Anolis sagrei: one gene and its partners. The main gene of each other region encodes a partner of the protein of the gene in region 2 in a complex. Links are inferred from orthologs where the notes say so. Each region holds a gene or a part of one and is shown on either strand. Other genes may lie near its edges. The genes, in order: NRP1, PLXNA2 and SEMA6A.

What was found.
Region 1: the proteins of PLXNA2 (region 2) and NRP1 are in contact, whole or in part, in a crystal structure (PDB 4GZA), measured with the Mus musculus proteins. The link is inferred for Anolis sagrei from reciprocal best matches to the Homo sapiens genes PLXNA2 and NRP1. Residues at the interface, in NP_032908.2 of Mus musculus: Asp273, Leu274, Phe275, Glu306, Lys341, Gly342, Gln343, Lys344, Gln345, His348, Pro350; in NP_032763.2 of Mus musculus: Glu78, Arg80, Asp81, Lys83, Tyr84, Asp126, Tyr127, Glu128, Thr129.
Region 3: the proteins of PLXNA2 (region 2) and SEMA6A are in contact, whole or in part, in a crystal structure (PDB 3AL8), measured with the Mus musculus proteins. The link is inferred for Anolis sagrei from reciprocal best matches to the Homo sapiens genes PLXNA2 and SEMA6A. Residues at the interface, in NP_032908.2 of Mus musculus: Ala93, Cys94, Tyr95, Pro96, Lys155, Gln192, Asp193, Tyr194, Asp220, Phe221, Val222, Pro229, Ser230, Asp231, Leu386, Lys389, Val391, Thr394, Lys395, Ala396, Pro397, Val398, Leu407, Asp408, Ile409, Asn410, Gln411; in NP_061214.2 of Mus musculus: Arg108, Met109, Lys110, Gly111, Met162, Ala163, Thr188, Phe190, Leu191, Ile193, Tyr198, Thr206, Arg208, His212, Asp213, Ser214, Glu219, Gln266, Arg267, Glu270, Lys271, Lys393.

What each region holds. Positions count from the first base shown.
Region 1 is NC_090026.1:112,929,775-112,933,517, forward strand, and holds the start of NRP1 (neuropilin-1), read right to left. Parts: upstream 2,434-3,743; 5' UTR 1,465-2,433; coding exon 1,398-1,464; intron 1-1,397. UniProt on the Homo sapiens protein: Cell-surface receptor involved in the development of the cardiovascular system, in angiogenesis, in the formation of certain neuronal circuits and in organogenesis outside the nervous system. Mediates the chemorepulsant activity of semaphorins.
Region 2 is NC_090024.1:197,421,489-197,425,231, forward strand, and holds the start of PLXNA2 (plexin-A2), read right to left. Parts: upstream 2,932-3,743; 5' UTR 2,833-2,931; intron 1-2,832. UniProt on the Homo sapiens protein: Coreceptor for SEMA3A and SEMA6A. Necessary for signaling by SEMA6A and class 3 semaphorins and subsequent remodeling of the cytoskeleton. Plays a role in axon guidance, invasive growth and cell migration.
Region 3 is NC_090022.1:243,126,663-243,130,405, reverse strand, and holds the start of SEMA6A (semaphorin-6A), read right to left. Parts: upstream 2,501-3,743; 5' UTR 1,856-2,500; intron 416-1,855; exon of another isoform or gene 224-415; intron 1-223. UniProt on the Homo sapiens protein: Cell surface receptor for PLXNA2 that plays an important role in cell-cell signaling. Required for normal granule cell migration in the developing cerebellum.

The DNA of each region.
Region 1 (3,743 bases), on a different chromosome or scaffold from region 2:
ATCTTGTAAACTCAAGCTCTTTTGTTTAGGCATATAGAAAGTTAAAGAAAAGGACATGTCTATCTTTCTTAGATACTACACATAGATCCAAAGAAGAATGAATGAATGAATGAATGAATGAATGACAGAATGGGGAAAAGAGTCCTCCTCCTTTAAAAAAAAACTACTCATCTGTCCAGTTTTAAAGGAGACACCTTGTGGAATTGCCAGAGGTTTCTCTTGTGAGAATCAGCTGTGGTGTTGCTCAGGGGACACTTGAATGTTTTGATGTTTTACCATCCTTGTGGGAGGCTTCTCCCATGTCCCCGCATGGGGAGCTGGAGCTGACAGAGGGAGCTCATCCACACTCTTCCTGGATTAGAACCTCCAACCAGTCAGTCTTCAGTCCTGCTGGCACAAGGTTTAACCCTTGTGCGACCTAGGGCTCCTGTGAGACTAGGTGCAACTCTGGGTACTTTGTGTATGAGTCTTTATGGACCACATCACACTAGAGAATGAATCCACTTTAAATCTGGTTTTTGCCTCCTGTAGAATTCTGGGGTTTGTAGTTTAGTGAAGCTGTTAAAGGCTCCTCCTTAAACTACAAACCCCAGAATTCCGTGGGAGGCAGCAACCGGATTGAAAGTGGATTCATTCTCTAATGTGATAAAGTAGTATCTGTCCTGTTTCTGAGTGAGTAGTCTGAAGCCTGCTTTTTGGTCGACTTCTTAACCTACCTGGGAAGGAGGAAAGGATGAACTCCCTCTATTAGCTCCAGCTCCCCCTGCGGGGACATGAGAGAAGCCTCCCACAAGGATGGCAAAACATCAAGCATCCAGGTATCCCCTGGGCAACGTCCTTGCAGACGGCCAATTCTCTCACACCAGAAGCGACTTGTAGTTTCTCAAGTCGCTCCTGACAGGACACACACACACAAAAAGAAAAGTTGCACCTAATCTGGGATGTTGTGATGTGCCTCCTTGCAGACTTGAACCTTTAGGCCGCCCTGAGTCCCCCACGGGGGATAAGGGCGGGTACAAATGCAGGAAATTAATAATAATAATAATAATAATCTCACGGGAGCCCTAGGTCGCGCAGTGGGTTAAACCCTTGTGCCAGCAGGACTGAAGACTGACAGGTCGGAGGTTCGAATCTGGCGAGAGCGTGGATGAGCTCCCTCTGTCAGCTCCAGCTTTCCATGCGGGGACATGAGAGAAGCTTCCCACAAGGATGGTAACATATCAAAACATCCGGGCGTCCCCTGGGCAAGGTCCTTGCAGACGGCCAATTCTTTCACGCCAGAAGCGACTTGCAGTTTCTCAAGTCGCTCCTGACACAACAAAAAAAGAAGAGGAAAGGGCCCTTTTCCTGGCAGTTACCTGGATACACCCTGGAAAGCATGCAAAGTGGCCACTTACCGCTCTTCAAAGCCCTGCCAAGGGTGGCCGTGAGGGCGACATAGTTCAGGAAGAGCCCCCAATCCATCTTCCTTTCTTGGTCCTCGAGGATTGTAGGAAGAGAACAGAGTATCCCTGTTTCCGCACGCAATCTTAAATCCTCCAGGAAAGGGAGTTTCAAAAAACACAAGCAATATGCATCAAGCTGTTTCAGGAGCAATAGCAGCAAGCAGAGTCCCGTTGGTAGCAAAGGACGTGTGGATATACTAGATCTCCTCAAGTCTCCCGCATCCTGTCATTCAGCTCCAGTTTCCTCTGCCTTTTCCCACACTTGTTCCTCTTCCAGGCGTCACTGCCTTTGCCATTTCCAAGCTGGCTTGGAAAGGGGTGGGAAAGAAAAGCTCGCAAGGAAGTCACAACAGAAGGGAGGAAGGAGGAGAAGGAGGAAAACAAAACCCTTCACAGCTTTGCCTCGAAGAGAAACGTCTCCAGGAGGAGGAAGGTCTCACCGGGGAGAGACGACTGCCTGTCTGTGGAGAGGAAGAAGGAGAAGAAGGAGAAGCAATGCCAATGAGAAGAAGGACTTCTTGCCCAACTTCATGCTCTCTTCGCCTCTCGATCAGCTGGCATTTGGAGGCAAGAGGAGCACCAAGAGATGCCTTCTTGGAGAGATGGTCTGAGAAGGAGGAGGAGGAAGAAGAAGATGTTGATGGAGAGGGCGGTGCTTTGCCTTCTTCTCCTCCACACAGAGTCCAATGTGGATTTTGGGCACACTTCTGCAAGGGAAGGGAAGGAAGAGCGGCCACCCAATGTCCTTCTTGTCGGCTCTGTAATCCAAGAGGAAGCGGAGCAAGAAGTATCTCTCTGTCTCTGTCTCTGCCCAGCGTCCGGGCGGCTCTTCCTTCTCTTGCAGGCTGAGGAAGAGAAGCGCAACTCGGTGCCAATAATAAGAGAGGAGCCGCCGCCTCCGGAGCCGCCAGTCCCCGCCTTCTCCCACCCGAAAAAGGAAGAAGGATCAACAAACAACCAGAACGAGCCCACCAATCCACCAATTCGTGGAGGAGGGAGTCGGAGAAGGGGTGGAGTGGCTCATGGGGAAGGAGGGACGGGAAGAAGAGGAGGAACAGGAGCAGCAGCAGAAGGGGCACGCCGAGGGGAGACGCTTCCTGGCGGAGAGTGCCCCAGTCTCGGCAAGGCAGGTGAAGCAGAGCCGGGGAAGGGGGCAAGGAGGGCGCGGCAGCAGCAGCAGCAGCACAGGCGCACAGCCTCGCAGGAGGAGACCTCCCCCAAAGGGTCATCTAGTCCAGTGGGTCTCGACCTTCCTCATGCACTTCCTCATGTTGTGGTGACCCCCCAAACATCACATTATTTTCCTTGCGACTTCATAACTGTCATTTTGCTACTGTTAGGAATCGTCATGGAAATATCCGATGTGCAGGATGTATTTTCATTCACTGGACCAAAATACCCGATAGCCCAAATTTGAATACTTTTAGGGTTGGAGAGGGACTGATTTTGTCATTTGGGAATTGTAGTTCCCTTACAATCAAAGAGCATTCTGAACTCCACCAACAATGGAATTGAACTAAACTTGGCACAAGGGACTCCCATGACTGGGCACCACAATGGAAAGGAGATGTTGACAAGCTGGAATGTGCTCAGAGGAGGACGACTAAATTGATCAAGGGTCTGGAGAACAAGCCCTCTGAGGAGCGGCTTAAAGAGCTGGATATAGAATCATAGAGTTGGAAGAGACCTCATGGGCCATCCAGTCCAACCCCCTGCCAAGAAGGAGGAATATTGCATTCAAAGCACCCCTGACAGATGGCCATCCAGCATCACACCTAGCCCCAGCAGACAAAAGTCCTTTGTCTCACCCTGGTCATTCCACAGATATATAAACCCATTTTTCCTACTTCCAACAGACCTCACTACCTCTGAGGATGCTTGCCATAGATGCAGGCGAAACGTCAGGAGAAAAATTGCCTCCAGAACATGGCCATATAGCCCGGAAAAACCTACAACAACCCATCCAGCCTCTGTTTAAAGGCTTTCAAAGAAAAAGCCTCCATCACACTCCAGGGCAGAGAGTTCCACTGCTGAACAGCTCTCAGAAGAAAAGGCTGAGAGGCGACATGATGGGCACATATAAATATGTGAGGGAGAGAGCAAGCTTGTTTTCTGCTTCCCTGGAGACCAGGACGGGGAACAATGGCTTCAAACTACAGGAAAGGTGATTCCACCTGAACATTAGGACGAACTTCCTAACTGTGAGAGCTGTTCAGCAGTGGAACTCTCTGCCCCCAAGTGCAGGCACCTTCTTTGGAGGCTTTTAAGCAGAGTCTGGATGGCCATCTGTCGGGGGTG
Region 2 (3,743 bases):
TCATGGTGTTGCCATAAATCAATAGGCAACTTGAAAATACATACACCAATACAGGGCAACATTGGAAACAGTGCAACTGAAAATAAGGAAGTAATAATTTACACTGTCAGTAGTGAAGCCTGGCATAATTTTTGATTGCTTCTGACAGGCCCATAGCCAGGATTTTGATTGGGGGGGGGGGGGGAGGATCTACTCTAGCAAACCTTTTGTATCATTATCCTAATACCCCCATGCCTATGGGATATATTGAGCATGGTGAGCAGATCATGATATGAATAAACATAACAGTTTAAATAATGTACCAGTAAGGTCTTCTTGTTGACCACCCTGAGAATTTCAGAGGAGGGTTGATGCCCCTCAAGCCCCCCCCCCCCCACACACACACTACATGCCTGGCTTCTGAGAAGATCCACTTTTGAACAGCTGCACAAGTGGGCAAAGACAGTCAGACATGGTACATAAGCACTAGTTATGGATGCCTTGGAATAATTTTTAACCCACATTCATCATTCTTCTTGGAGTGCTGGTATATTATGGGAAGCTCTGACAGAACATGTACAACACCTCCTCATTGCTTTAGAGTGTTTTATGTTGGCGTCCTAACAGCCTTAGAATTCTTTCCAACATCTGTCAACCAAAGTCTTAAATATTATCATGGGGCATTGAAGATGCCAACCTCCTAAGAGAGGAAAGTAAACAAATGCCCAATTGATTTTTCAGTTTTTACGACTCCTTTCAGCATTGTGTCTCTTAGAATAAAACAGACCTCTTTGAAAGACTCTGTGGTCCACTCACTTGTAAAGATTGTTTCCTTTAGCTATATTGTCCCATGCATGAAATTTTCTGAACACACTTAAAGAGCCAAAGGAAGATGATGGCATTTATTTGATGCTCTCAGGGAGTTTAGGATGTTGAGTTTTGCTCCTTGCTTTCTTTGCGCCTAGGAAGTTCAGATTCTTCAGTTGAGGAGATGAGCTGACTATAGAGTTAACAAAGAAGCATCACCAGCAGGAGAGGGGAGAAAGGACTCACTTTTGTGGAATCTGTTCAGATTCTAAAGCAGCATCTGTAACATGTTTCCACAGCAAAAAAAAAAAAAAAAAAAAAACTACCTGTAAGTTTAGCTGGGATGGGGCAAGACTCTACAAATCTAAATGACATGAGCAATAAAGAGTTCCGTAAATAGAATGACTTCATCTTTTTGTAGTGACCATTGCATAGAGTTAAGAAAGGTGTTTGCCAGGTGCTATATATCTCAAAAACCAAACTCTGTACTGAACTTTTATCTTGAGCTAGCTGTTTTCCTTTACTCATATCATGTATATAATAAAGGAATAACCCCACCTTTACAGAGCCAGAGGTTCACATAAGGATTGAGGAGCTCACTATGGGAAATATAACAGGAAATAATTGTTTAAAATATCAACACCCTGCTTTTGAATGGCTATTGCTCTCTATAAAATATAGCTATCATTTGCATGACCAGAGAGGAGAAGTAGGTCATTTACTGAACTTGGTCAGACAGTGTCATCCAGTTGATGAGAGCTCATAAAGTACAATCAGGCAGAGCTGCTAAACTTACCCATTTCTTTGATGACTTACATAAATCCTGCAGAAATGCAAGGAAACAAAACACAGGTGTATGTGCACTCTTGCACGTGTGCAACACATGAACATATAGCAGCCTTGTCTAGTACCTTCTTTGGCTCACATGTTAAACTCACTCAACACAACAGATATCTCTCTCTCCCACCCCTACCCCACCCCACTATAATATCTGTTTGTTCCCTGTCAATCCATGAGTTTTTGTCTAATGCCACTGTGTGCTGAAGTAGGAGCGCTTAACCATCCATACATACCAGAAACTTTGGAAACACTCAAGGCTTGCTCTGGAGAAGACAGTATCCCATATTAGACTGGGCAAACAAGGATGCTAAGTAACCCATCTGTTTGTCATGCAGCAGATAGGAAATTTAAAGGATGGGCTCATTTAGTGTACACATGCACACCTTGGGAGGCAGGTGCTTTGTGCATCACTTCATGGTGTTTGTCATGTGCCTTCAAATCAACTCCAGCTCATGGAGATCTCTCTTAAGGGTTTCTTGGCAAGGTTTTTTCAAGGCAGGCTTGTCATTGCCTTCCTCTGAGGTTTCCCGGTTTGGAATATGGATTTATTCACTCCCTGGAAAGATGTTCTTCAGCCTAGGAAGGTTGCTTTGATAGCCATGTCTCATCAGCCTTTGAAGACTCTGCAAGACCAGCCAGGCTGTCTCAGTGGGAACTCCCCCTTCCTTCCTCCCTTCGGAACCTGTTTGCTTCCTCTAATGCACTTGCCTTCCCCATGTGCAGAGCTATCAGCAACAAGCTAAGCATCCGATTGAGTGAGGAATGGGGCTGGGAGGTTCCCAAAAAATGGAAATCCTTCACCCTCTCGCTGCAGCTGCAAAGAACCCCTGGGGAGTCTTGTCCCCTCTAAAAGAAGGGGTTCCGAAGGGACACGTGTTTCCAGAAAGACAAGCCTAATCGGGGGGTTCTCTGAAAGGCTGATGGAAGCTCAGCGTTGAAGGAGAGGAGCCAATTCCACCAGGAGAAGTGCCCGGAGAGGGCAGGTGGGGACAGCATAGCAACCACCCCCGCCACAAAGACGACACAGGCAGCTATCTATCAAATGGGGTGCAAAAAAAATAAATAAATCCCAAGAGCGTTGGGAAGGCAAAAGCAGCAAGATGGGTGGGAGCGCGGCAATTCTCCTCCCTCCCCGCCCACCCAGTTTGAGCTGGGCATTCGGGTGCGGAAGGGGGCCAGGCTGGTGGGTAACCCTTTGCCACTTACCCGCTCTCCAGACCGGCTCCCGCCGCTTCTCTTGGGGGGCAGCCAGCTTTCTCCCCACGCTGGTGCCACCGCCTCCTCCTCCTCCTCCTCCTCTTCCGAATTAGGGAGCGGTAATCCACACCGAGTCCCGATTCATGGAAACCCACAGCAGGGCACGGATCTGTATTCCGAAAGTGGCGCTGGAGAGGTTCCGGCTGATCTTCCAAGCTGAGGATGGGCAGCTGCTTCTCCCGGCTCTTGCCCACCCTCTGCCTGCCGCCTGGCACCGGCGCTTTCCCGGCAGCCTCGCCTGGGTTTGCCTTCACGCCGCCGCTGGCTTCATGGCTGGGGAGCTGCCTCTGCCTCGCGCCCTCCTTCCCTCGGCTTCACACACACACACACTCTCACACACACACACCCGGCCAGGCAGGCGCACTGGGCTGAGTCTCCAGCCGCGGTGCCAGGGCCGCTGCCTGCCTGACTGCCTGCCTGGTGTGCGCTCCTCGCCGGGCTCCAGGCTGGCACTGCGCTCCTCGCTTTCCCCATCAGCAGCGGCAGCGGCGGCGGCCTCCGCCAAAGCCAGCCTCCTCCTATTACCGTGGATCTCATTAACATACAGTCACAGGGGGTTAACCCTTCCCCAGCCGGCACCTCAAATCCCAGGCCTTGCCCAATTTGCTGCAGTCTCTTCCTCTCTTTCCCCCACCCACCCCACCTCCCTTTCTTTTCTCTCCAGGCGACGTCAGAGCCAAGAGAAATCACAAAAATCGGGAGGGGGGGGGCTTGGCTTGTTGGCTGAGATGGAGAGGGAAAACGAAAGGGGCAGGCATGGGTTTAAAAATAGATCCGGCGGCGTTTGGGTCTGGGGTGGGGGGAAAGGGAAAGGACAGGGGCGAAGAGAGAGTGGGGCGGGGGGGGGGGGGGGCTGTCTG
Region 3 (3,743 bases), on a different chromosome or scaffold from region 2:
GAGGGCCCAAGTTTGCCCAGGCCTGATCTACACTGTAGCATTAATGGAGTTTGGCATTAAATGCAGAATTAATGCAGTCCTACCGGCTGTTAGGGATGATGGGAGTTGAAGTCCAAAACACTTGGAGGGTTTGCCCATGGAGCTTGAGCATGCCTGATCTAATACCTCGCTTCTTTACTGGGTCTCCTTGCCGAGAGACGCCCCCTCTCAATCCAATTGTTACCTGAAGACAGCGTCTCCTACTCCTGCGCTTCCATGCTCTACTCAATGGGAAGCTGGGAACACACAACCTTCAGCCACACCTCCTTCCAGTGGGGTCCTCGCTCACTCTCCCCTTCCTTCCCCTCCTCAGAGAAGCGTCCACAACCTCTCTCCCTCCTCTCTCCTCTCCCCTTTCCCTGGCCCAGAAGGGCTTGTCTGCAGACAAAAGGAGACGAGGGGGCTCCATGCACAGGAGCAAGGCACACCGGGGGAGGGGGGGGGGGGTGTGAGGAGAAGGGAGAGGCGGCGGTGGTGACGACCCAATTCTAGCGTCGAGAGAGAAAGGCGGGAGACTGGGCCTTTCCTGAGCCTGAGGCGAGACCAGACCACCCGAGCGGGTCACTCCCCTCTTGCCTGGTCTTGTGAGGCGCGCGCCCCAAACGCCCCTCACGGAGCGCTGACCGCGGGGAGAAGGAGCGCCGGCCCCTCCCTCCTTGTCTCCCTCTTTCCCTCCGCCCCGCAGCCCTCGGGGGGCCACACAGGGGAGGCGCCCCAGGCTTGCGTCAACCTCCGTCCTCCCCAGCGTCGGCAAACAAAGCCGGTGAGGGGCGGTGGCAGAGAGAGCGAGAGAGAGAGAGAGGGAAAGAGAGGGAGACACACAGACACCCTCCCACCCACACACCCACCCTCTTGCCCCGAGGGGCTTGGCCGGGCTGAGGCGGCGCAGAGGCCCCGAAGCCTGAGCCTCTCCCCTCCTCCGCCAGGTTGCCCCACTTCCCGGCCGCACATTGTCTGGGAAACAAAGGCTCCACGCCCAGCCTCGCCCCCCGAGGAAGCCTCGTGTTTATATAGAGGGGCCAAGGCGCGTCACTCCCTGGGGTGTTTGGCCTGGGATGGCCAGGCTATCCCGTGTTCCTGGGGGTGTTCCTCTGGGGTGTTGTTTGGCCTGGGATGGCCAGGGCTCTCTCTCTTCCTCGGGTGTGTTTGGCCTGCCTGGGATTGCCAAGCTCTCTCTGACATCGCCTGGCTATCCCGTGTTCCTGGGGGGTGTTCCTCTGGGGTGTTGTTTGGCCTGGGATTGCAAGGCTCTCTCTGACATAGCCCGCTCTGGGGGTGTTCCTTTGGGGTCTTGTTTGGCCTGGGATTACCAGGGCTCCCTCTTTTTCGGGTGTGTTTGGCCTGCTTGGGATTGCCAGGGTCTCTCTGACCTAGCCTGCCCCCCCCCCCCCAAAAGCTCTCCTCAGCCGCCGCCCCTCGCCTCGCAATGGGAAGCGCGAGAGAACATCCCGGCGCGCTTCCTTCCCTCCAAACAAGCGGACTTGGAGAAAAAGGGGGAAAGGAAGGAAGGAAGGTCGGGGAGGGGCGGGAGCGCGGGTCTGTCTCCCGACACACCGAAGGGAACCCAAGCGCCTCTGGGCACGCAGAAGCCCGGCAAGAAGCGCGCGCGAGAGAGAGAGAGGGAGAAGGGGCAGCTCCGCCGCCGCCGCCAACAAGCCCCCTCAGTTTGGCTTTTGCTTCCTCCTGGCTGTTCTCTTGGCTGCCTCCTTGGAGCAGGATCTCCCCCTTCCACGCCCCCTCCCTCCCTCCTTCCCGGGACAAAAAACCCCAAAGAGCAAGAGAGAGATAGGGAGGCAATGCGAGGCCCCGTCCGTACCTCGTCGTCGGTGCCCGGCCGCTTCCGAGGACAGGACTAGCGGATGGAGGGGCGTCCCATGGAGTAATCCGTTTAAGGGGATGGCTCCGCCAAACTCGCTCCTCGGCAATCCTTTGTCATGGTGAAGCGGCGCCCCGAGAGCTTTCCGGGGTGGGGGCACCAGAAGGAGAAGGAAAAGGAGAAGGAGGAGAAGGAGGCTAAGCTTGCCTCGCCTTTGGGGACCGCGCTGAGTTCATCTCCAAGGAAGGAAAGAAGGGAGGAGGATGGGGCCAAAGGCTTGAAAGTCCCCTTCCGAGGGACGGAGAGGTCTGCCTCGCTCCTCCTGCTTCTCCTCCTCCTCCTCTGCCGCTCATGGAAGGGTCCCTCCTCGGGCGGGACAGCGCCAAGCTGGAAAGAGAGCGGGGCTCCCACTCGCGGCTTCCTTCCTTCCTCGCTGCCTCTCTCTCTCTCTCTCTCTCTTTCCCCGCTGCCCTGCCTCTGGCTTCGCAGCGCGAGTGAGTGGAGCCTCCGTCCCAACTCTTCTTCTTTCTGTCACTGGGAAAAGCTTGGCTTGGCGGGAGGAGGTGGAGTCAAAACCCGGGCTGGATCCCGGACTGGGCTCGCGAACTCTTCCTCTTGACAGCGCTCGACTCTGCTGCGCCTGAAGGAGCGCGTGGGGGGCGGGGCTCCGAGGAGGAGGAGGAGGAGGAAAGAGTGAGTGGGGGGGGGGGGGTGCAAGGCAAAGTGAGAGCAGAGCGGACTGGGGGAGGGGGGGGGGGGACCTGGCCTCTTCCCAAACAGGCTTGGCTGGCACCCAGCATTAGCAGCACCACCGCACGCGCATGCGCACACGGGAAAAAAAGAAAGGCACTGGCGAGAGCGATTAATTGGCTGCCCTCCTTTCTCTCCGTCTAGTGAGGATTATGGGGGGTGAAGTGCAGGGGCATGGCATCGGCTTCTCACTCAGGGTTTTTTTTTGTTTTTGTTTTTGTTTTTAGAGTACTGTCGAAGGCTTTCGTGGCTTTCATGCGTTTTCCAAGATGTACGGCCATGTTCCAGAAGCATTCTCTCCTGACGTTTTGCCTGCATCTGTGGCCGGCATCTTCAGAGGTTGTGAGGTCTGTTGGAAAATAGGACAATTGGGTTCATATATCTGTGTAATGTCTGTTGGAGGAAAGGGTGAATGTTGCAATTGGCTACCTTGACTAGCATTGAATGACCGTGCAGTTACAAGGTGTGGATGCTTCCTGCCTGGGGGAATCCTTTGTGAGTTTTTCGGGCCATGTTCCAGAAGCATTCTCTCCTGACGTTTCGCCTGCAACTATGGCAGGCATCTTCAAAGGTTGTAAAGTCTGTTGGAAACTAGGCAAGTGGGGTTTATATATCTGTGGAATATCCAGGGTGGGAGAAAGAACTCTTTTGTGTTGGAGGAAAGGGTTAATGTTGCAATTGGCCACCTTGATTAGCCTTGTGAATTCTGTTGGGAACCAGGAAAATTGGGTTTATATATTTGTGTAATGTCCAGGGTGGGAGAAAGAACTCTTGTCTGTTGGAGGAAAGGGTGAATGTTGCAATTGGCCACCTTGACTAGCATTGAATGGCCTTGCAGTTACAAGGTCTGGATGCTTCCTGCGTGGGGGAATCCTTTGTGAGTTTTCCAGGCCATGCTCCAGAAGCATTCTCTCCTAACGTTTCGCCTGCATCAGTGGCAGGCATCCTCAGAGGTTGTGAAGTCTGTTGGAAACTAGTCGAGTGGGGTTTATTTATCTGTGTAAGGTCTGTTGGAGGAAAGGGTGAATTGGCCACCTTCATGTGCTTATTTATATTGTTTCTTGTATTTTTTTTAATTTTTTTATTGTCGTTGTATCTTGTTTAGTTGCATTGCTGTATTGTTCCTTGGCGTCATGTA